Linked DNA regions of Lepisosteus oculatus. The protein of the gene in region 1 purifies or fractionates together with the protein of each later gene. This does not show direct contact. Links are inferred from orthologs where the notes say so. Each region holds a gene or a part of one and is shown on either strand. Other genes may lie near its edges.

Region 1 (10,153 bases):
TGAGTGAATGAATTCACCTTTATTGCCCCTAGGGGAATTTGTCTTTCCCCATCAAGAGCTCATAAGCATATAACATACATGACAATAATACAGTATAACAACAATGAAACACCATAGTACAATTAAACACTCAGCAAGAAAGAAGAGCCAGCACAGTCCTGGGATGAACACTCTGATTCACGTGTACTTTGTGTTCATTTTCATGAATTAAATAAGATCAACACCTTTTGATCACCACTGGAAACACCAGTGCCAATAATTGACAATTATTACTCAGCACGTACCAGAAGTCTGGACCCATGGGGAAAATTAATGTACTCTTCATTAATTTATTGTGTAATTGATTGCTGTTAACACATACATATTAATTCCTATACAAATGTTTTTCTTGAACTTTTTTTAAGATGGAAACTCTTTCCCAATGATCTCTTTCTCTGCTGCAGTGCTGTTTGATTTTGGGCTGTTGACCACTCATCTCAGGTGTCTCACAGGGAGATGTTCAGTGGGGCTAGGTCCTCTGGATTGAGACTTCTGATTCAGCCTCTGTATTGGTCATTTGAGGAATGAACTGTCGTGGTGCAAGGTCTCATCCTGTCTTGCAAGGAAGGATGAGTTTTAAATACGTCACAGGAAACCTAAAATGGGTCAGGAGGGTGTGGAAGCGTCTGTGCTGAACCCGAGCGTGGGATTGTTCTGGGACAAGCGTGAGATCGGTGGTGCGCTCTGCTGCTGCCGATGCCGTCTTCGTGCCAGCGAGTGTGAGAGTTCATTCTCACCAGACAGGTTTCATGAAGGCTTTGCCCTCACCAGGGCCCCTGCAGTGATGCTGCCGCCATTATAGACGTCCCAAAGTGCCTCCTTGGTTCTGTTGCAGGTGTTTATCAGAAAGCGCTGGAGAGGTGGCCTTCGTGAAGCACACCACGGTCTTCGACAACACTGACGGTATGTCCCGGAGAATCAGACCACGCATGGACGTGCCTCAAACAAAGCCATCAGTCGTTAGGAATGCCTAAATAATCCTTTCCCAGCATTCCCGTGGGGCCCTGCGTGTCCCAGCCCAAACCATGAGCGCTGACACGTGCCCACGGTTCGCAGCTGCTTCTAGAAAGACACCTGCGTGCAACACTGCTGCACATTGGTACCACAGTGCACAGCGGTCCAGGCAGAGCAGCTCTGTGAAAGTAGGACAACTAGTGAAGTAAATGAAACACAGGCTCTCCAGATCGAGTGCCGTCCACCAGAGTCCCTGGTCTCCATCAAGTCGGCGTGTGGCTCACGGCAAACGCGCCTCCTGTGCCCCTCCTGTCCGGCAGGTCACAACACTGATCTCTGGGCCGTCAACCTGCAGTCGAGGGACTTCCAGCTGCTGTGTCCCAATGGGGCTCGCGCGGAGGTCTCGCAGTACGCGCGCTGTAACCTGGCTCGCGTGCCTGCCCACGCCGTCATGGTGCGCCCCGACACGGACGCCAACGCGGTGTACGGACTCCTCGACAGAGCCCAGGTGAGACATGGCTGCCCGGAGCCCCCCTCCCTCCCGGCCTCGTGAACCAGCTGAGCTTCGTGGCGCCCAGGGCTGGGCGAGCCGCGGTTTTAGTCATCGTGCAGGAAAGGCCCCGTCTCCAGTTCTGCACGCCTGAGTCTGTCCGGAGTGAATCCGCCTCCTGCTGACGGGACTGACCGGCAAGGCTCTGTGCGGATCGTGTTCCGTTAACGATCAGCCTTTCACTTGCAGGCCATCTTTGGGGATGACAACAATCCGAACGGATTCAAGATGTTCGATTCCTCTGCCTTTGGAGGTACGGATCTGATTTTCAAGGATTCCACAGTCCGCCTGATAGGAGTCGGAGAGAAAAGGACCTACACGGACTGGCTGGGCCAGAGCTACATGGACGCCATGAATGTGATGGAATGCAACTCTGCAGGTATGAACGATCCGATGCCCTACTGTGCTGCCAGTGCTTGCCTTGGCCTGCATCTGTACGAAGGCCGAAGTTCTTTCATGAGCTCGATTGATTGAGCAAGAACAGGAGAGGATGATGAGTTGCGTGGTTTCCAGTTGCCCTGTAATTTTTATGTCTTAGCCAGGAATATAATTTCCTTTTTTTAATGCATGAAATTAGAATCATTTTTACAACCGTGATCAAAGCTCTGCAGTTGATGAGAGAGAAGCTTTACTGGAAGGGTAGTAAATTGAGGCTTTTCTCTGGCCGAAGCCCGGCAAATGACCAGGTTGGAAGATGGAGCTGTTCATGTGCTCTAACCCCTCTCTGTTTGTTTGCCAGGAGCGGTCTCCTCAGTGTCCACGGTGCTTGTAGTGGGACTCGGCTTCCTCTTGATCATCTTCAACATATAAACCTACTTTCCTGGGAAGACAGTGACAAAGAAACACCACGTCTCACTGATTCTTGGACAATTTTTAAGAATCGTTATTCAGTGATTCAGATAGCAAATTTGCAGGGATTTTAGGGTCCTATTTTTCAATGTGCCAAATGTTTTTTTTTCTCTCAATTTGTAGCTGGGCTGGACACTCCACCCCCAGTCCAAATCGTCTCGAATGTTTAAATCCAGGGATTCTCGTGCCTCAGGTGTGTTGATCACCCTGAGGGAAGGAGGTGGCAGGTTTTGGGAAAGAGGGTCTGTCCACAATCATTAATCCCCCTCCTACCTCTCCAGTCCTTCCACAGTGCCACAGGAAGCTCCAGGCAGGCAGGTCCCATGCTGGTGCATGTTGCCTGGCTGTGATCCTTAGCATCTGAAGGCAGTTGCCATATCAGTGCATATGCTTTGCCTGTTACATCTGGAGCCTCTTTGTCAAGCTCCTGCAGACTTATATCATATCCTACAGATGTGTAGTCATATTTAAAAACTTTGTCCTTTGTTGTCTAAAGGCAGTTGCCATATCAGTGCATATGCATTGCCTGTTACATAATCTTATCTTCTTGGGGTGCTCTCTGTGTCTTGGAATGTGCTGGGACCTGCACTTTTCTGTCTCGCCTTGATAAACTAACGCCAAGCCAGCAACGAAGCAGCAACGAAGCAACAGGGCCGTGCTGCTTAAATTCACACTTGTTTCTTTCTGCAGACACAGGCAGGAGGGCGACAGCCTGTGCTGTTTTCTGCATGTACCTGCCGTGTCAGTGTGTTCCCCCCAAACCTCAGAAAGAACGCTGTTAAACACACGCTTAATGGCAACAGTGATTTGCTCAGTGCAGAACTAAGATTAAACTAATTTAGACCTGGGTGTCTGGAATGTGGAGTGTAAATTCCTATGAGCAGAGCAGCTGAGGAAGACTTTGCTTATTGTTTTGGGAGGTCACAGACGTGAGGCAGAAAATGTCTCTCTTAGCTTTCAAATGTGATTTACTTAGTTGCCTATTTCTACAAAGCAGAATCACAGCTTCCCAGTGAACTAATACCTGAAGGTCAGATTGATAGGAATTCTGTCTCTCTACCTTCACAGCTATGAGAGCATGACACAGCATCCATTACTCCATACCTACTGCTTGATTGAGACCGCTGGTAACTTTGGGAAGATCATGCCAGTTTAAAAAGTAGTACTTTGCATGTTTCTCTGTCAGGAAATCACTTCAGCTGGCATCACCGTAAAACCCATGTGTTTTAATTTCTGGAATGATCAAAGACATGGAAAGTCCGAGTTCTCTGCTGCACAATGCCTTCATAATAATTCTGAGCTTTTACTGACCAAGTCTGTACTATAATCAGGTGTAGTATTCCCTCTAGGCTGCATTATTGTCCTTTCAGTATGGCATTTCTTTCCAAAATGTTTTCTGCAGAGTTTCTTTGTGTATTATTGAACAAAGATTTATTTTTATAAGGTGCTCAGATACCATATCAGTGTATATGTACTGACTCCCTGTTCTTTGAATATTATTGCTTGCTTCAAAGGTCATATTGATTTCTTCAATGAAATATTGTATTGTAACTAATATTTAGTTGCCAGGCCAGTGCGTCTGCTTAAGTATAGGTACATAAAGCTTTGATTAAAAACCACACTATGATTCATAAATAAACTGAGACCTCATTCACCCGAGTGCAGTCGTGAAATCTTTTCCAGGCGGATGTAACTTTGAACCTAATAACGTGAAAGCTTACCTCAGATAAAACAGAACAGATAAGATAAAACAGGATACAAAGCTGTTTGCACTTCCTAGACAATAATAATGTGCACCAATGTAGCCTTAGAAGCCTGAAGATCACTAAATGATGTTTAGGTGAAATTTAACAATATACTGCAGTCACGAGTGTACAGGAGCTGACAGTGCTTTTCCCTCCTGTTATCAAGGGTTGTGACGGCAAAAACAAATAGAAGCTGCACCAGAAAAATATAATAAGTGATGAAGCCAGCAGAGATTAAGCACAGAGGTTCTACACATTAATAAAGCCAACATTTCTATGAGATGTGTTATAAAGAATAGAGAAGAGTATACATGCATTTACTATAGTAAAAGCTTTGGTTAGGACTGAAGCAACTTATCTACGGAAAGTAATAGTAATACACTTTATTTTATATAGCACCTTCTCAAAGCGCTTTACAGAACTTCGGTTCTGTTTCGGCCTCGGTATTGCCTGTCTGTCTAGGGAGAAGTGGCAGTCTTCCAGCAAACACTACGGTGTCGGGGTCCGAAAACAGGACTCGGGTAGTTTTTTTCCAGACTCCCGGCCATCTTGTGGCGAAGTAGGAGAACTACAATGGGTTTGGATAAAACGGAGCAAGAAAAGTTAGGAACACCGCATTATTTATTCCCCTTTTCAAGTCCCAGACACTGAGTTTGGTGGGCTCTGTGGGTATATATTTAATTTTTAAAAAAATGAAGGTGGTTTATGTACTTTGGCTCGACAAATAACCAACCCCCTTAAAAAAAAAACATATGTCGGATGGAAACTTGTACACTTTCCTCTGCCGACAGTAGCGACCAGTCCATGAAAGTCGTACACAGTTGACTGACAAGAGCTGCAGTCCATAAAAACAAGGCAAATACTTCATGAAAACACTCTTTTCAATTTAATCTTCTCATCTACATTACACACCAGACCCGATACAGTGTTTATCAATGAAAGTTAAAATGAACAATATGCATATCTTACATAACGGGATTGCTTCTTTCGACGTTCTGTGGCATTGTGTTTACAGTTTACGACAAGGTGCGGGTTATTTATTTTTTTTAATTGCGTTGATTTGTAACGTTCACAGACTCGCAAAAATACGTCTCGGATATTTTTCATCCTAGCCGTCAAAACGGGAGTTTGGACCCGTGAGCTGAACAGAAAGTCGTCGTCTTCATTACTTTCCCCGCAGTGTCGCCTCCATAATTCAAATACCGCTTAATTACAGTGTGGAAAACGACACATCTCCCGGTGGTAAAACGACATGGATTTCAGCAGCTACTGAGATAATTACAGGTCAATTCAGAAGTCCACGGTTCCGCAAGCCCTCACTGTTTGTCCTTGTTTTTGAGCTGTCGGGAGGCGTCCCTCACGCCTTCCTTGACCTCTCTGACGAACATCTGCCCCAGTCTCCCGACTCTCCTTCCCAGTTCGCCCACGTCCCTCGGCATCCTCCCGGCCGTCTCCTCTCGCACCTGGCGGACGGTGTCCGACTTGAGCAGCCTGGACGCCGCGTCCCTGCCGCTGATCTGCGCCTTGGTGATGGCGTAGGCCGTGATCTGCGCCGCCCGGCGGATAGGGCGAGACTCGGAGAGCTTCTCGATCACTTGCGCGTTGTTCAACAGGGTGAACAGCAGGCGCCTCAAAACCATCTTCAAGCCAGGGATCCGGGGACCTGCAGACGACGAGAGCCAACGGAAAAGACGGTTAATAAATTTGTTGCGCGGCGTTATACTCACAAATAAATTGAAAGCAGTTTCAATGTTCCTACCAGAAAGATCTGCCGGCTGAAAAGCTCTGATTTCCGGTCTTGCACCGCAACCGTCCCCCTGTTGAAGCTGCTAATAAGGTATCGGATTCTACTGAGTAATGCTTTATGTGATTAACGAAAACAACTGAAAATGAAATAAACTTGAAGAAGGGACGTCCTTTATTATTATTCAATGATTGCATTTATTAGTGCGATCGAAATCTAAACACTTAAAAGCAGCATTTAAATAGCTGCTGGTAACCCTCGTGAAAGCCTACAGTAACTCTGTGTTCTCACAATCGTACATTTTGTCTTCTCTCTTATTGTGGTTATATTAATATAAAAACAAATAAACAGTAAAACAATATAAGAAAATTGAGAGCTGTATGGTCACCGATACGGGCCGCCCTTGTTTCCGCACGGTCGCCCTTACTGTACGGACCGGAAGCTTTATTTGATTGGCTCTCCCGCACCGGAAGGCGGCGTTCTGGGAGTCTTGCTGTTTGTGTGGGTGCCCTGTTGGTTTGTTTCTGTGTGGATTTTGTTACAGTTCTTTTACGATGTCTATTCAATTAAACGCACTCCTCAGCGACTCTTACGTCGATATAAGCCAGTACAGAGACCAACATTTCAAGGTAAGGTGAAAAAACTTTAGTATTACTCTTAACGTTGTGCGTTTTTGTTAGGAAAACAGGATTTAACACGCCGAAGCAGGAACACAGATGCAAGGCGTAAACAGGTTCTGGTAATTAGGTGTATTAAAAGTTAGTTTGATTTGCACCTCAGTCGTGTTCAGAGTTGTGTTTCGGACGCTACCCGGCCGTGGTATCGAGCAGAGATGAAAGTACCGTTCGTTAGGTAAGTTTAAGAAAGGTTGCGGTAGCGAGATGGAGGGAACGACAAACAGTGTGAAGTGGAACTTTGTCTCCAGGGTAATCGCCACGAACAGGAACGGCTCCTGCGGGCGAGCAACACCCTCTACGTGGGAAACCTGTCCTTTTACACGACGGAGGAGCAGGTGTATGAGCTGTTCTCGAAGAGCGGCGACGTGAAGAGAATCATCATGGGTCTGGACAAGGTGAAGAAGACCGCTTGTGGCTTCTGCTTCGTCGAGTATCCTTTTGCACAGAACAGTCGCGATTGCTGACCTGTCTTTCGGCTTTTTGGATATTGGTAATTCTGGAGTTGTAACTCCTTTTTAATGCAGCTATCCGGTGCATGTATATTTATTGTACAGAATTGATATACTAGATGGAATATTTATTTAAATGTTCTGACTGTATATTTATAGAGTAGTGACGCGTCTTAAACGTTTTACATTTTTAATGTTTTATACAATCTGACGTGCAACACAGAGACTTCTTACTTGAGAGCAATATCCCAGGAGTTAAATGGCACGGTGGAGTCTTCTGTAGTGTTACTGTTATCTGCACCCTTTGCGCCTTCACGGCATGCTGTTGTAATTCACTGTGGGTAAAGGCGTCTGCCAGGCGAAGAAATGTAATGTAATGTTTTCAGTGTCACGGAGAAGGGAGGATCGAGAGGGGGGTGCAGGAGGTTCACCTCGCTGTGCCTGGGCCGCCGTAGCAAGGAAATCCAAGGCCTGTCTCCCTCCCTCTTCCCGAGATAGGCAATTTGTCACATTTTGTACGTTTTCGTTTGCTGCAACGCCTTGACCCCCCCAATGCAAGGTACTACACCCGTGGGGACGCGGAGAACGCCATGCGGTACATCAACGGCACCAGGCTGGACGACCGGATCATCAGAACGGACTGGGACGCGGGCTTTAAAGAAGGCAGGCAGTATGGCCGTGGGAAGTCAGGTGGCCAGGTGCGCTTGCTTGCTTGCCCAACGTTGTATTTGTCATTAGAAACAGCAACGACAACAAAAACCATTAGAAAAGTTAGAAATGAGCAAATCTGTTATTCTGTGTTTCTTAAAGTTTTTACAGTGTTTTTTTATGTTAATGCACGTTCAAGCTGTTTGGCTTCAAGTCTGTTCAGTGCGTTGCAACTGCTGGATCTCAGCCACGGCTCGGTTCACCAGGGGCTCGCGCAGTGTGATGGGAGGCCAGTGCTGTCTGTGAAGAAGCACATTTCTTTTCTCCGACGGAGATAAATACAGACAGGGTTATGATCCAGCCGGGGGTGGGCTATGGAAAAGCAGTTAAAAAATTGTAATAAGGTATTTTTTTCTTTTTCTTTCAGGTCAGAGATGAATACAGGCAAGATTATGACCCTGCTCGAGGTGGATATGGAAAATTGGCTCAGCTCCAAAGAACACCAGACGCCCCGCACAAATTCTAGTTTTCTGTAGAGAATTTACAATTGGGTGGTATTTGAGTACATTTAGGTAATGAAAGATAAAGTTGATCTTTTATCACCTTTTTATTAAATGTTTTACCAAATTAAGATAACTTGACTGAAGTACATCATGCTTTTCGTACATTTTGAAAATCACAAATAAGCAGGAGAAGCTGGTTAAGGCATCTGCCATTTTGGCCAGTTTTGCCTTAAGGCTTATTTTTCCAATCCAGTTTCATTTGTAACTATGAGCGTTTCTGTTGGATCTGTATACTATGTATAACATTTATGGAAACATTAAATATTTTCAATTTTGTGTTTAAAATCTTTTTTTAACATTGGTATTGGTATTCAGTAACAATGTGTGCACCATTTGCTCTACTGTTTAAAATGAAATGCAAAAATTAGATGAAAGGAGCATGTTTAGAAGTATTTTATATTTGCTTTCCCTTGGTGTAAAAAAGGCATCACACATTTCTTGGAAAGGAAAACTTTGTTAATGGAAAATTTTGGAATTAATGATATTAGTTCATTCAGATTCTAATTTTACCCTACACACATTCCTTGACCGCTAAACAATCAAAAATCTGATAAATGTAAGTTAAAAGTCCTGGATGTACTTTCTCATTTAAAGGACAAGCATTTTTAAAATTGCTCTAGTTTTTTCCTCAGCTTAAGTGCTTTCCTAAAAGTATTAAAAGTACTGCTCATGTATGTCATGGTCTTTAGGTAAAACCTGATGTTACTTTCAGAACATTAACATGTCATTATACCCTGAAATTTAGGGACCTGAAGACCATTATTTTGTCAGTGGGTTTTGCTTTTGATTGTCATTTGTATTTCTGCAATTTTTTTTCCATTTTCTCCATGTCTCGGAATGTTCTCTGAGCTTTCCTCCACCCTCCAACGACATGTTGACTAGTTGAATTGCAGATTGCAGATTTCTGGATTGTCTTGTGTGCCAGACCGGTGTCTCAGTGATGGACACTTTGTCTCTCTCTTGGGGGTTTCAGTCCTGTAGTTTGGTCTTCAAGTCTGGTGTTCCTCCAGCTTGATACTGCCCCCCCCTCTAGTCAGCATTTAAATATTTCCAATTGTGCAGATATTATTAATATTGATATTAATATTCAGAGTGCATTCAAGTCAAGCTTCTTCAGCAAGGCTTTAATTTAAGTGGCATCTGGCTGCATTTGCTCATTGCATCTACTGTTTCTAGTCCCTTATGGTCATTTTTTCTTCTTAGATCTTTAATTTATTTTTCCCTTTTCGTAAAAGGCACTTTGAGGAGCTACTTTTAAAGGCCCGATATACATTTATGACATTGTCCTATCCAGGATGTAGTCCCACCTTGACCCTTTTTTCTAGGTGGATGGGGGGAAAGTTATGCCTTGATACCAAGTTCATCTACAGTGCCTCCTATGTCTAATCCAGTTTTTAGCATTCTTTAGTTAGTGCAATACAAAAGTATCCTCTTATACTAATAACCTGAGTTGCTAAGGTTTCTTCATACTGTATATCATGTCCTTCAAGTGCTGGCAGCAGCTTACGGAGCGGCCATTGAACAGATTTGACTCAACACGTTTTTGAAAGGGCTTTCGGTTTGAATACACTGTACTGGTGCAAAAAGAACACACGAAAACTCAGATCTAGAACTGGATTTAATTGACTATTTAAAACAAATGCCAAACAAAAAAAAAATCACAGAAAATGTGAACAGAAATACAAAGCGGTAGTTTTCAATATGAAACATGACAGTTTTAAACGAAAGCAGTATAAAGGTGGTATGACCTTCCTGAGCAGCAGCACTGTCGTATGGACCCCTCCAGCCTCCCACCAGACTGCTGTGGGATGTTGCACATTGTCCTCTGCAGCTGTAGCCAGCTGGCTCCTTGTCACAGCACTGGCAAGCCGCTCCCACAGAGACACTAACGAGAGCCTGAAATCGGCATATAAATCTGGCCGTGGCAAGACAACA
Region 2 (9,958 bases), on another chromosome or scaffold:
CTGGAGAGACCAACAGCATAGTCACAGATATCTACATACTCCTGAACCTCTCCAACACCTTCTACATAAATTTTTCCCATTTCCAGGGATACCTGCACAAAAAAGGCAGAAGCATAAGACAGACCATCTATTGTGCCGCCTCAAAGCACAAATCAGAAATGCTGATTAAATTAATAATTAATTATATTGTATTGTAAACTATAATTAAACAAACTGAAGCCATAAGTGGAATTTTCTATTACAAGACATCAGAATAGTTTGAGAAGTGAGAAAAAAAAATGTTCATGTACACAGCTCTTATATGTTGGACAACATAGCATCCATAGTATCTAACATCACACACTGAAATGGCTGAAGTATTTGGTCATAGCAACATGTCTGCCCTTCATGTTTTAAAGATAGTGAATCTACAACATTCAACCTCTGAATTTCCTAACTTCCAGTATTAAAAATCAATCAATTGCTCTAAGATATACTTCAGACTTATGAAGGGTAACAAATGAGCAGAGACCATTCAGACCTCTAGCCCATTTGGTATCTAGGAGCAAACTGATCCAAGGATGGCTGGGGAGCGTCTTACATCCACAACCCTTTGGGTAAAAAAGTAGCTCCTGTTCACAGTATTAAAAGCATTATTCCTTCTAAGTGTCCACTTGTGTTCTCGGGTTCATATTTTACTGTTTATTCTGAAAAAGTCTGCAGTGTTGACTTTGTCAGCGCCTTTGAAGACTTTGAATTCTTGGCTTTAAAAACTTTTTTTAATTAACGTTCGACTGCATTAACGTTAAACAGGAATAGAATGTAAACAGACCTTTTCATCCAGAACAATGTGATGTTAAGAGCAAAATATTGCTTTTCCTATCTCTGTATGTTTTAAACACACCAGGACAGGAAAGAACTGTCTTGAGGAAAAGCTAACCCTTATTTTTGAATATGTCAGAATAAAGTTAGTAGATGCTTCTCAAAAGTTCTTACCAAGCTACCCAGAATTTTAATCTTCTTCCTTAAAGCATCTCCTATTTGTCTTACAATTTCTCCCCGTTTAGGAGCTGGAATCTATGTAAAAAAGGAAATGACTTTCAGTTATCACATTTAAACAGTATGAATATATGTTTACAAACCTTGTAAAGAACCAACACCAAGACACACTATTTAAAAATAATTTCAAAAAATTTAACTTTCAGCACTACATTTTAGTTTTGTTTAAGTCAGACTAATGTTTTTTTGAAGGATCATACTTGACAATAACAATATAGATATTTCCTTTAAAAAAATAATGAAAATGGGAAAAAAAGGATTGTTCATACATCAGCTAGCATTTAGAATTACTAGTTTGAAGGTGTACTAAATACATGCTGTAGCTCTCTTCTGTTTTTGCTTTTCTTCAAGAGGAGAGAGGTAATCTCATGCTGCTGAATTTGTTGTGGTGATGAATAGATAATAAACAAGCAAAGACCTGTGATGGCAATTTGAAAATTTCACAACTAATTACTTGTATTAATCCACCATACACATCCTATTATTTTGAACGCATCACATGTGTTTGTGGATTCTTTTCTACACTGAGTGTTTCTGACAGTAACACGACAAGTGTGTCTTTCTGGTTTATCCTTAGAATGCTTTACTGACAGTACTTACATCTGCCCACACTTTCCAGGCTTCTTTTGCCTTGTTCACGGTCTCTTCATACTCTGCCATCGTGGCCTTGAAATTAAGCACAAAAAAGAATCCTAAGTACCATCACAATGTTCACAGCCAAGTGAGTTTCACTCAAAGTAGCATGCTCAGAATTATTTACCTCCAAAGCGCCCTTTATTCTCAAACACAAAAAAACTTTCCAAACTATTCACTCAAACTCTGGAAAAGTTCTGTTCCAATTGTTGTTGAATGTACCAGGTACATCTGGGATATGTGAAATATTTTCCCATGCTTGTGTTTTACTTACTTTTTGTATGAATTGTTAAGTAAACCCTTTTTTGAATTATCCATCCCTTTTTTTAGGCAAACTAAATGGAAAGTTGAGTAACATTCACAAAATATTTTTAAATGAGATAAGCCTCCATATATTAAACAATGACCCTAAAAAGATTTTACGTAGAAACTGAAATGTTGAGAGGATAAGAGGAAGATTGCACAATTTTTAAACTGTTGCAATGGAGCTCATCTGTGACAAGACAGTAACAGTTAATTTTTAACTGCATTCACTAATGATGACAGACCGCAAGACAGAATAAAAAGGACATTTATTACATGAACAGAAATTAATCTAGGAATGAGGTGTAGGCAGAAATTTGCAAATTCAGTTCAATAACATAAATAAATGTTTAAAGCCCTTTGAGGGATTTCTGAGAAAAGTACTTTTCCAAATAGTCACAGAATGTAATAGAGGAAGTAGAATGTGGTGCTATGCCTACATTGCTGTGAAGGAAAGGTACAAACATTGCTTGGGAAAGTTACTTTAAAAAGTAATCCATTACAGTGACAAACTAAATAAAGAATTACTTTAAAAATTAACAAGACATTTAGTAAAAATAATTAATATTCAGTAGCATCTGTGAACATTAAGCTCAATAAGGTGTTTTGCCATCTGTGAATCTCCAAAAATACAGTTTCTTTGCTCAAGAGTTTATGTCAAAATGCTGTTATATATTTTTTTGTTTTCATCCTTTAATAAATAAGAAATGTATTATAACTAAATCTATCTGTCAGTTTGGCATTATAGTAAGCAAGGTCATCCAGAGGACAAAGGTTTATGCAATAAGTCGACTTCAAATGCTATCAGACTGGTAAGTAATATATATCTGTCCCTAAAGTAAATGGCCTTGGATATATATTTATGCACAGAACACAGCTTTCAACCATGACATCCACCAGGATAGATATAAGCATTAAGAGAATGAGGCTGAAATTACCTGTCGGACTCTTGCAATGGGTTCATTGTTGGCAGGGCAATAAGAAGTGATGACCTAGAAAGACAATATTAATTATATCCTACATCTTTAAAGCATACTATTTTCAGTGCATCTTTAACAAATAGCACATAATATAGTTAATCTAGAAGAACTAATCACATGTAAGCTTAACACCACAAGTAAACCTCTAAACTGGATGTTTTTAGACAATGACGGGTTATGGCGGGTTATGGCTAACATAAATGGAGATTTCCCTCAGGTGTTCATTAATAATAATAATAATAATAATTGCTTACACTTATATAGCGCTTGAGCTCCACTAATGGTGGCTCCCCAGAACGCTCACCGCACACCGCACACCAGCTATCAGTGGGGAGGAGAGCAGAATGAAGCCAATTCATAGACGGGGATTATTAAGAGGCCAGGACACCGGGACACCTACTCTTTTCATAAAACAGCCTGGGATTTTTAATGACCACAGAGAGCCAGGACCTCGGTTTTACATCTCATCCGAAGGACGGCACCTGTTTACAGTATAGTGTCCCCATCACTATACTGGGGCATTAGGACCCACGTGGACCGCAGGGTGAGCGCCCCCTGCTGGCCCCACTAACACCTCTTCCAGCAGCAACCTTAGTTTTTCCTAGGAGGGCTCCCGTCCAGGTACTGGCCAGGCTCACACCTGCTTAACCTCAGTGGGGTGCCAGTTGTGAGTTGCAGAGTGATATGGCTGCTGGCTAGTGATATGGCTGATAGGTTAAGACAACCTGTCAACATGCCTCTGGCTGAGCAAAGTCAAACTTCTGTTATGCAGCTTTAGCACAGAACAGAGAGAATTGTTATAGCTATTAAACGCACTTAAATCCCCACAGTCATATGGAATTCTACCGATTCTACTTTAGGACACAAGAAATGTTATTCATAGCCCATTAACAAGAAGGGAATAAAAAGGGCATCAGAACCAAACCAAGTAAGCCAATAAGTCTTATTTCTTTTATATAAATTCCAATTGATATGCAAGACAATGCATGTTTTGTGGGATTCAGAACTGGTAAATGGATAGGGAGTAGTACAAATAAGAATTAATAAATCCTCCGATTCGGAAGATATAATTAGCCAAGTGCTGCAGATACTGTATTTGTACTAGCACCACTGCTCTTTCTAATTTATATCAATGATCTCGATCTTGGTATAGTTAGCACGCAAATCAAACTCACATATAATAGAAAAAGAAGAATAAGCAAATACTGTGGTACATTTAAGGGAAATTTTAAAATAAGTTAATAAAACTGGGAAACACCTGGCAGAATTTGTTTTTATATAAACATTTTCAAAATGTTACACGAAAAAAGAAATAAACATACACCGCACGAGATAGTATTAGTTTGAAGAAACTATTACAAAGGCCTAGGTTTATGTTGACATTTTATATCGAAGAAACAAAAAAGCAGCAGAACTTTATGATACGTAGCTCAATGCAGGTAATTTTAAGTGGAGGGATGCTATGTTAAAATTTTACAATGCATTTTTAAGATCTCATTTAGGATATTAATACATTAAACGGTTTTTCTGTATCTTAGCATCGAGTGGATTAAATTTTAAATAAATAACAGTAGAAACGTTTAAGTGAATGGGACAGTCTCGATTTGCAGCCATCTTCATAAGTATTTTTAGCAAAGCATTGCTATTGGCTGCCCTTGCTACCTAATGCCACTTAAATCTCTTCGCGTCTTACCTCTCCCTTCCCTCCCCACGCTCCATTGTAAACTCCGGCATTTTCCTCCTTTAGGCCTAGTTCTTTGAGCCAGGAGTATTTCGGCTGGTTGATCAGGAGTGTGGACATGGTTGCCGTTTGTCGGAAACCGCGGAAAAGGACTTTTCTCCTGAGGGACAAGTGCTTTACAGCAGTTAGAGCAATAAGCTGCATGGCTGTAACAGAGCACCGACGCCAAGTTCAGCGCAGACAGTGCTGTGCAGCCCAGCCCCCCGAAGCGGAGGCGATGATTGGTGAGATACAGGCTCTACCCATCTGTCGCCAGCAGCGCTGGCTTTGCAGCCCTTCTGCGTCCTTTACGTGCAGGAGCTTACGCAACACGCAAGTCAGTTTTCTCTGAGCACGTAAAATGTTGGGTGACACGTTTCTGTGAAATCACCAGGCTGTGAGCTGAAGTCATGATCATATATTTCTGTTTTTTTTTTGTTCGGATAACACAAAACACTTTTACCCCCGCAGCAATAGGATGTCATTATTGCTCGTTACGGTTAGAAGTTAAAGAAATGTGCTAACGTTTTGATCCTTGACTCGATAGTGCCCCCAGAAGGCCAGAGCAGCACTGATAAATCCGATTGACGACAGCTTTTTAGCGAGCAGCAGAGTGGCGCAGCGGAAGCGTGCTGGGCCCATAACCCAGAGGTCGATGGATCGAAACCATCCTCTGCTAGCTTGTGTTTTTTTAAATAATTGTTATGTTTTTTTTCCACATCAAAATAGATGAATTGATCCAATATATGCAATCTGTATGTTTTTTTTCTATACATTTAACCTTTGATAACTAGACGGTCAATGCAATTTTGCAACCAAGCGAATACATTGTCCGAATTTATTTTGCAGTTTTTAACATTTCGTCTACACTTAACGTCGTCGGGTGCGTGCGTGTGGGGTGTTAAAATAAGTAACAAAGTGTAAAATGCAAAGTTACAATCCACCATCACCCAAGTAAAACATTAACTAGAATCTGACTTTTATTATTCAGTTGAAGGTGTTATAGGTGGCATAAAATCAAAAAGTGTAAGCAACTGAGTGGACACTGCAAACATAAGATGGAGACACTGAGCTTGAAAATACTACTTAGGAAGAATATTTATGTTTATGTTGGCTTGTCTATGACCTCAGTCTAGATAATGTTGGGAACGTACAGTTAAAGACTACAGAAATTAAATAAGAGCAAGTAATGTTAAAACTGTACTAGTGCTAATAAAACCCCGTTTAAAATAATGTTCTGGGTTATCACGTAACAAAAAATATATTATTGGACTGGATTCGGCCCCAAACCAAATTCAGGTGAATGTCTTAAACTGATTAATTAAAGCAAACAGATCCCTTTCGCGACAAAAGCAGATTATGTGGTGATGTGAATCAGAAGGAGTGTTTTCACATTTGCGTCTCCTCCCCGCGATCTGGACGGGCTTTGCTAACGTGAGCGGTTTGTCTTGTAGAACAGCAGGAGGCGCCGTGACATCGACCGGCCTCCTGTTCCGGAGGCCGAGTGACACAGGAAGGTGTTCCTGCGGCCCGAGGGAGCTGTTTTATTGCCGGGTTAGTGGAAATGGCGGTGAGTGCGGATAGGATGGAAGATCTCGAAGATGGTGAGCTCTGTAGTTCTAACTCTGATTCGGAAATGGGAGTTGCTGCGGATGAACAAATGCAGGTAAGTTTTGTTGAAATATGTTTAAGAGTGAAATATACCGCGTTTTGGTTCTCAGAGAAGGTAATTTCGGTTTTACCTTATTTGACGGTTAGATATACCTTGGTTGCTTTGCTGTTAAGGAGGTAGCAACGTTTTCGTTTTAATTTATACGTGAAAGGAACTCAGCTGTGTACATTTTTTTATTACGAGATTTAAAGGCTAAAATCGGTAAACTCGTGAGGATATTTAAGTTGAAGTTATTACATGCATGTTTAGTGATTGTTTTGGATTCCAGTTTTAAATTTGAAGTTACAGCAAAATCAATCCAGAGTGTCATTCGCTTTACCAAGAAGTCACGTAATTCTGTAGTTTACGGCTGCAAATGTGATTTATTTTTATTTAAAACTCTCCTATTCAGGTATTGACGCAGGTTTGCTTAGCGTCTGCGGTCTGTATCTGGAAGATATCTGGCTAGTGGTGTAGAGCAAATGAACTGTAATGGGTCTGAAGAAGATTAAATAATATGATCAGCCATCCACAATTGTTGGCGCAGATGCCGACAAGATGATAACTGTTTGGAAAAACAGTTATACACTGCTAAAATGTCTGGACTGCACTCGAGTGTGATTATTAAGAAGGCAGACAGGCCTGTTACAATGCGAAAAGTTTATTTCACATGGCAGCAAACGCACACGGTACGTCGCTATACATCTGTAACTCATGCTGATTCTTCTTGGGTGTGATTCTCTAAAAACATAACCTTTTACTACCAGTGTATATCAAGGTTGTATAGCAACTGTAAGTTTCCAGTGATGGGGGGGGGGACAAGTTTTTTTGGATGATTTATATTTTGTGCCTGTTTCATAAATACTTTCTACTTATTGATTTTGTTTTTCTGTTTGATATACTTTTAAGTCTTAGGTTTATTGGTGACATTTTTACATCTTCCCCTAATGCTGAACACTGCATGTAGTACTTTTGTCCTGTATAATGAAGTTCCAAGCAAAGTTGTGTTTAGAGTAAAGAAAGTACTACATAACCCCAATGTGTCCCGTGCATTATTTCTGACCTTCTTTCTGCAGAAACTGCAGCCCCCAGCCTTGAACAGCCAGGCTTTCCAGAGCAGATCGGAGCCGCGCCAGGCCCCCACCTCTGTCACGAGTTACCGCAGCACGGCAGGGCTAGACTCCAGCGACAACAGCGAGTCGGATTCCGATGAAGACCGGGCCATCTGGAAGAGGAAACGCCAGAAATGTGCCCATCCGCCTCCTGTGAAGCTGCCTGTGCCGGGCCCCCTCGCCCCCCAGAAGCCTCCGAGCTGCAAGGTGAACAACATCTGGGGCGCCGTCGTGCAGGAGCAGAGCCAGGAGGTGGTGGCGGCGGAGTTGGGTATATTGGGCATGGAGGGTGGCATCAGCATGAGCAGTCGGCAGTCGGAGACGTACAACTTCCTGCTGGCCCGCAAAATGATGGAAAGGGAGCGACAGCAGCAGGAGTCGGAGGAGGCTGCCAAGCTGGACGAGGAGCTGGAGGATTACATGCAGCACGACAAGAAGGAGCACAAGGCTGAGGAGGGGAACGGGGGCGCCCACCTCAAGAGGAAACGTCCAGTTAAGGAGAGGCTGGGCGAGAAGGAGGAGATGGACTACAAGGGTCGATTCGAACTCACCGAGGACGACCCCGAGGACAGAGTGGCAGAGGAAATCGCCCACAGGTCAGGTGCCCCTTTGAGCTTCTGTGTTGCTCTGGTGTTTTAAGAGTTCCTTTAGTTAAAACCTGAATTGTAGCCCTTAGTTTTTTATTTAAACTTTTTAATAATAATAATAATAATTGCTTACACTTATATAGCACTTTTCTGGACACCACTCAAAGCGCTTTACAAGTAATGGGGACTCCCCTCCACCACCACCACCAATGTGCAGCCCCACCTGGATGATGCGACGGCAGCCATAGTGCGCCAGAGTGCTCACCACACACCAGCTATCAGTGGGGAGGAGAGCAGGGTAATGAAGCCAATTCATAGATGGGGATTATTAGGAGGCCATGATTGGTAAGGCCAATGGGAAATTTGGCCAGGACGCCGGGGTTACACCCCTCAAAGCTTAGGCTCAAAGCTTTGAAAAACAAGATGTATTCTGGTAACATTTTAATGTTGCTCTTCAGAGTTGGCGAAGTTCAGTTACTGCTTCCAGGTTTGAGTTGGGAAATCGTACTCTTTGATTCACTGACGGGCTCCTTCACGTGTAACACTAGGGGCTGGGCTATGCTGATATGCTTGTTTTTATTCATAAGTACCTCATGATGTATCTCTGTTTCACTTTTGCTGTGTGTTGCAGCGAGAGCAGGACTGAGGAATGAGTTTGAATAGTGCGGGAGCCCTCAGTGCCTGCCCTCAAGGGACACAGGCTTGTCTGGTCCTCTTTCCCTATGAACTCACTAAGCACACAATTCTATGAGAAATGTATACAGTATACTATCTACTGTTGTATATAGGCTCTTTTTTAATGTAAATGAAACTTTTTCCTGGGCTTTTTTTAATCAGAAAGCCCTTTATTTCGTTTGTTGTAAACATACGGTATAAAATTTGCTGAAGCATATGAAACACAAACACACATCATAATCAATTGGCCTGTTCCTGTAAGGCACCTTTGATATTCCTGAACCCTTTGCAGTAGTAATAATTGTATTTATTTTGAATTGTTTTATTTATTTTTTTTACATTTTTATAACATTTTGGTGTCTTTTTAAATGATTTTTAAATCATTTTAATGATTTTTTTTAGTTCGCTAAAGTAAACAACATGCAAACAACACGCATTGAAAGCAATTCAGTATTGTAGGGAAAGTCAAATATTTCTGATTTTATAGTCAAAATTCCCCTTTAGCAGATTTATTTTGTTAAATTTGAAACAATTGTGTTATTACTGTAATTATTCACTGTCTTAAGTCAATTTAAATAAATTCATTTTTAAGTAGACAATATATAAATGGCAAAGAGACAAAATGAGGACCCCTGAAATAATAAATTAGTGGATTTGTTTATGACTCAAGAACTTCTGAAATCTGCTTGGGACAGTGCCTTTCTAAGTTTATTGAAATTTATTTTCTGATGTTCTCCCAGAGATAATTTCTCTTTAATGTTAGAACAGTGGCAATAGGATCCAATCCGGCATCTGCTCTTAACGTGCAATTAATTAAACACGTATATGTGTTTTCTTGACTGTATCACTGTTGTATGACACTGGGTTGTGAATCAAAACAAGTTTAACATGATCTGATTTGATGTGCCCCAAAAAATTTCATTGACAAATGAGAAGTTGGCAGTTTGGGCTTCCAGTATCAGACTGTGATCTCTCCCAGGTATTGTAGTTTAGGGTTTGGGGCTTGTCTTCTTCTAAGCTATTGGTGTCTCCTGTCATGCCTTCTTGAGCAGGGACTAGTCCCTTGTACTCAGTTTTCTTATTTCATAAATAGTTGCACTTGGACCTTGACAGATGACAATGTACATTGAAAAAAGGTTGGAAAAGTAAAGGTTACTAATCTATAAAACACAAAATGGTGGAGCTGGCAAAACAAACACTAATATTTTACAACCATAAAGTCTTCTATTTGACAGGTAATCCTAGTATATAATACAAAA

The links.
Region 2: the proteins of ncbp2 (region 1) and phax purify together in Homo sapiens (affinity purification with mass spectrometry; 5 studies listed by BioGRID and IntAct, with this or other methods). This does not show direct contact. The link is inferred for Lepisosteus oculatus from reciprocal best matches to the Homo sapiens genes NCBP2 and PHAX.

What each region holds. Positions count from the first base shown.
Region 1 is NC_090708.1:2,221,030-2,231,182, forward strand, and holds ncbp2 (nuclear cap-binding protein subunit 2), read left to right. Parts: upstream 1-6,082; 5' UTR 6,083-6,435; coding exon 6,436-6,510; intron 6,511-6,806; coding exon 6,807-6,988; intron 6,989-7,566; coding exon 7,567-7,705; intron 7,706-8,082; coding exon 8,083-8,181; 3' UTR 8,182-8,503; downstream 8,504-10,153. Other genes in the region: meltf (melanotransferrin), read left to right, coding at 875-942, 1,314-1,501, 1,733-1,922, 2,283-2,353; protein NCBP2AS2-like, read right to left, coding at 5,454-5,777. UniProt on the Homo sapiens protein: Component of the cap-binding complex (CBC), which binds co-transcriptionally to the 5' cap of pre-mRNAs and is involved in various processes such as pre-mRNA splicing, translation regulation, nonsense-mediated mRNA decay, RNA-mediated gene silencing (RNAi) by microRNAs (miRNAs) and mRNA export.
Region 2 is NC_090698.1:51,421,014-51,430,971, reverse strand, and holds the start of phax (phosphorylated adapter RNA export protein), read left to right. Parts: upstream 1-6,194; 5' UTR 6,195-6,238; coding exon 6,239-6,340; intron 6,341-7,401; coding exon 7,402-8,033; intron 8,034-9,958. Other genes in the region: aldh7a1 (alpha-aminoadipic semialdehyde dehydrogenase), read right to left, coding at 1-92, 976-1,056, 1,639-1,704, 2,913-2,966, 4,648-4,839. UniProt on the Homo sapiens protein: A phosphoprotein adapter involved in the XPO1-mediated U snRNA export from the nucleus.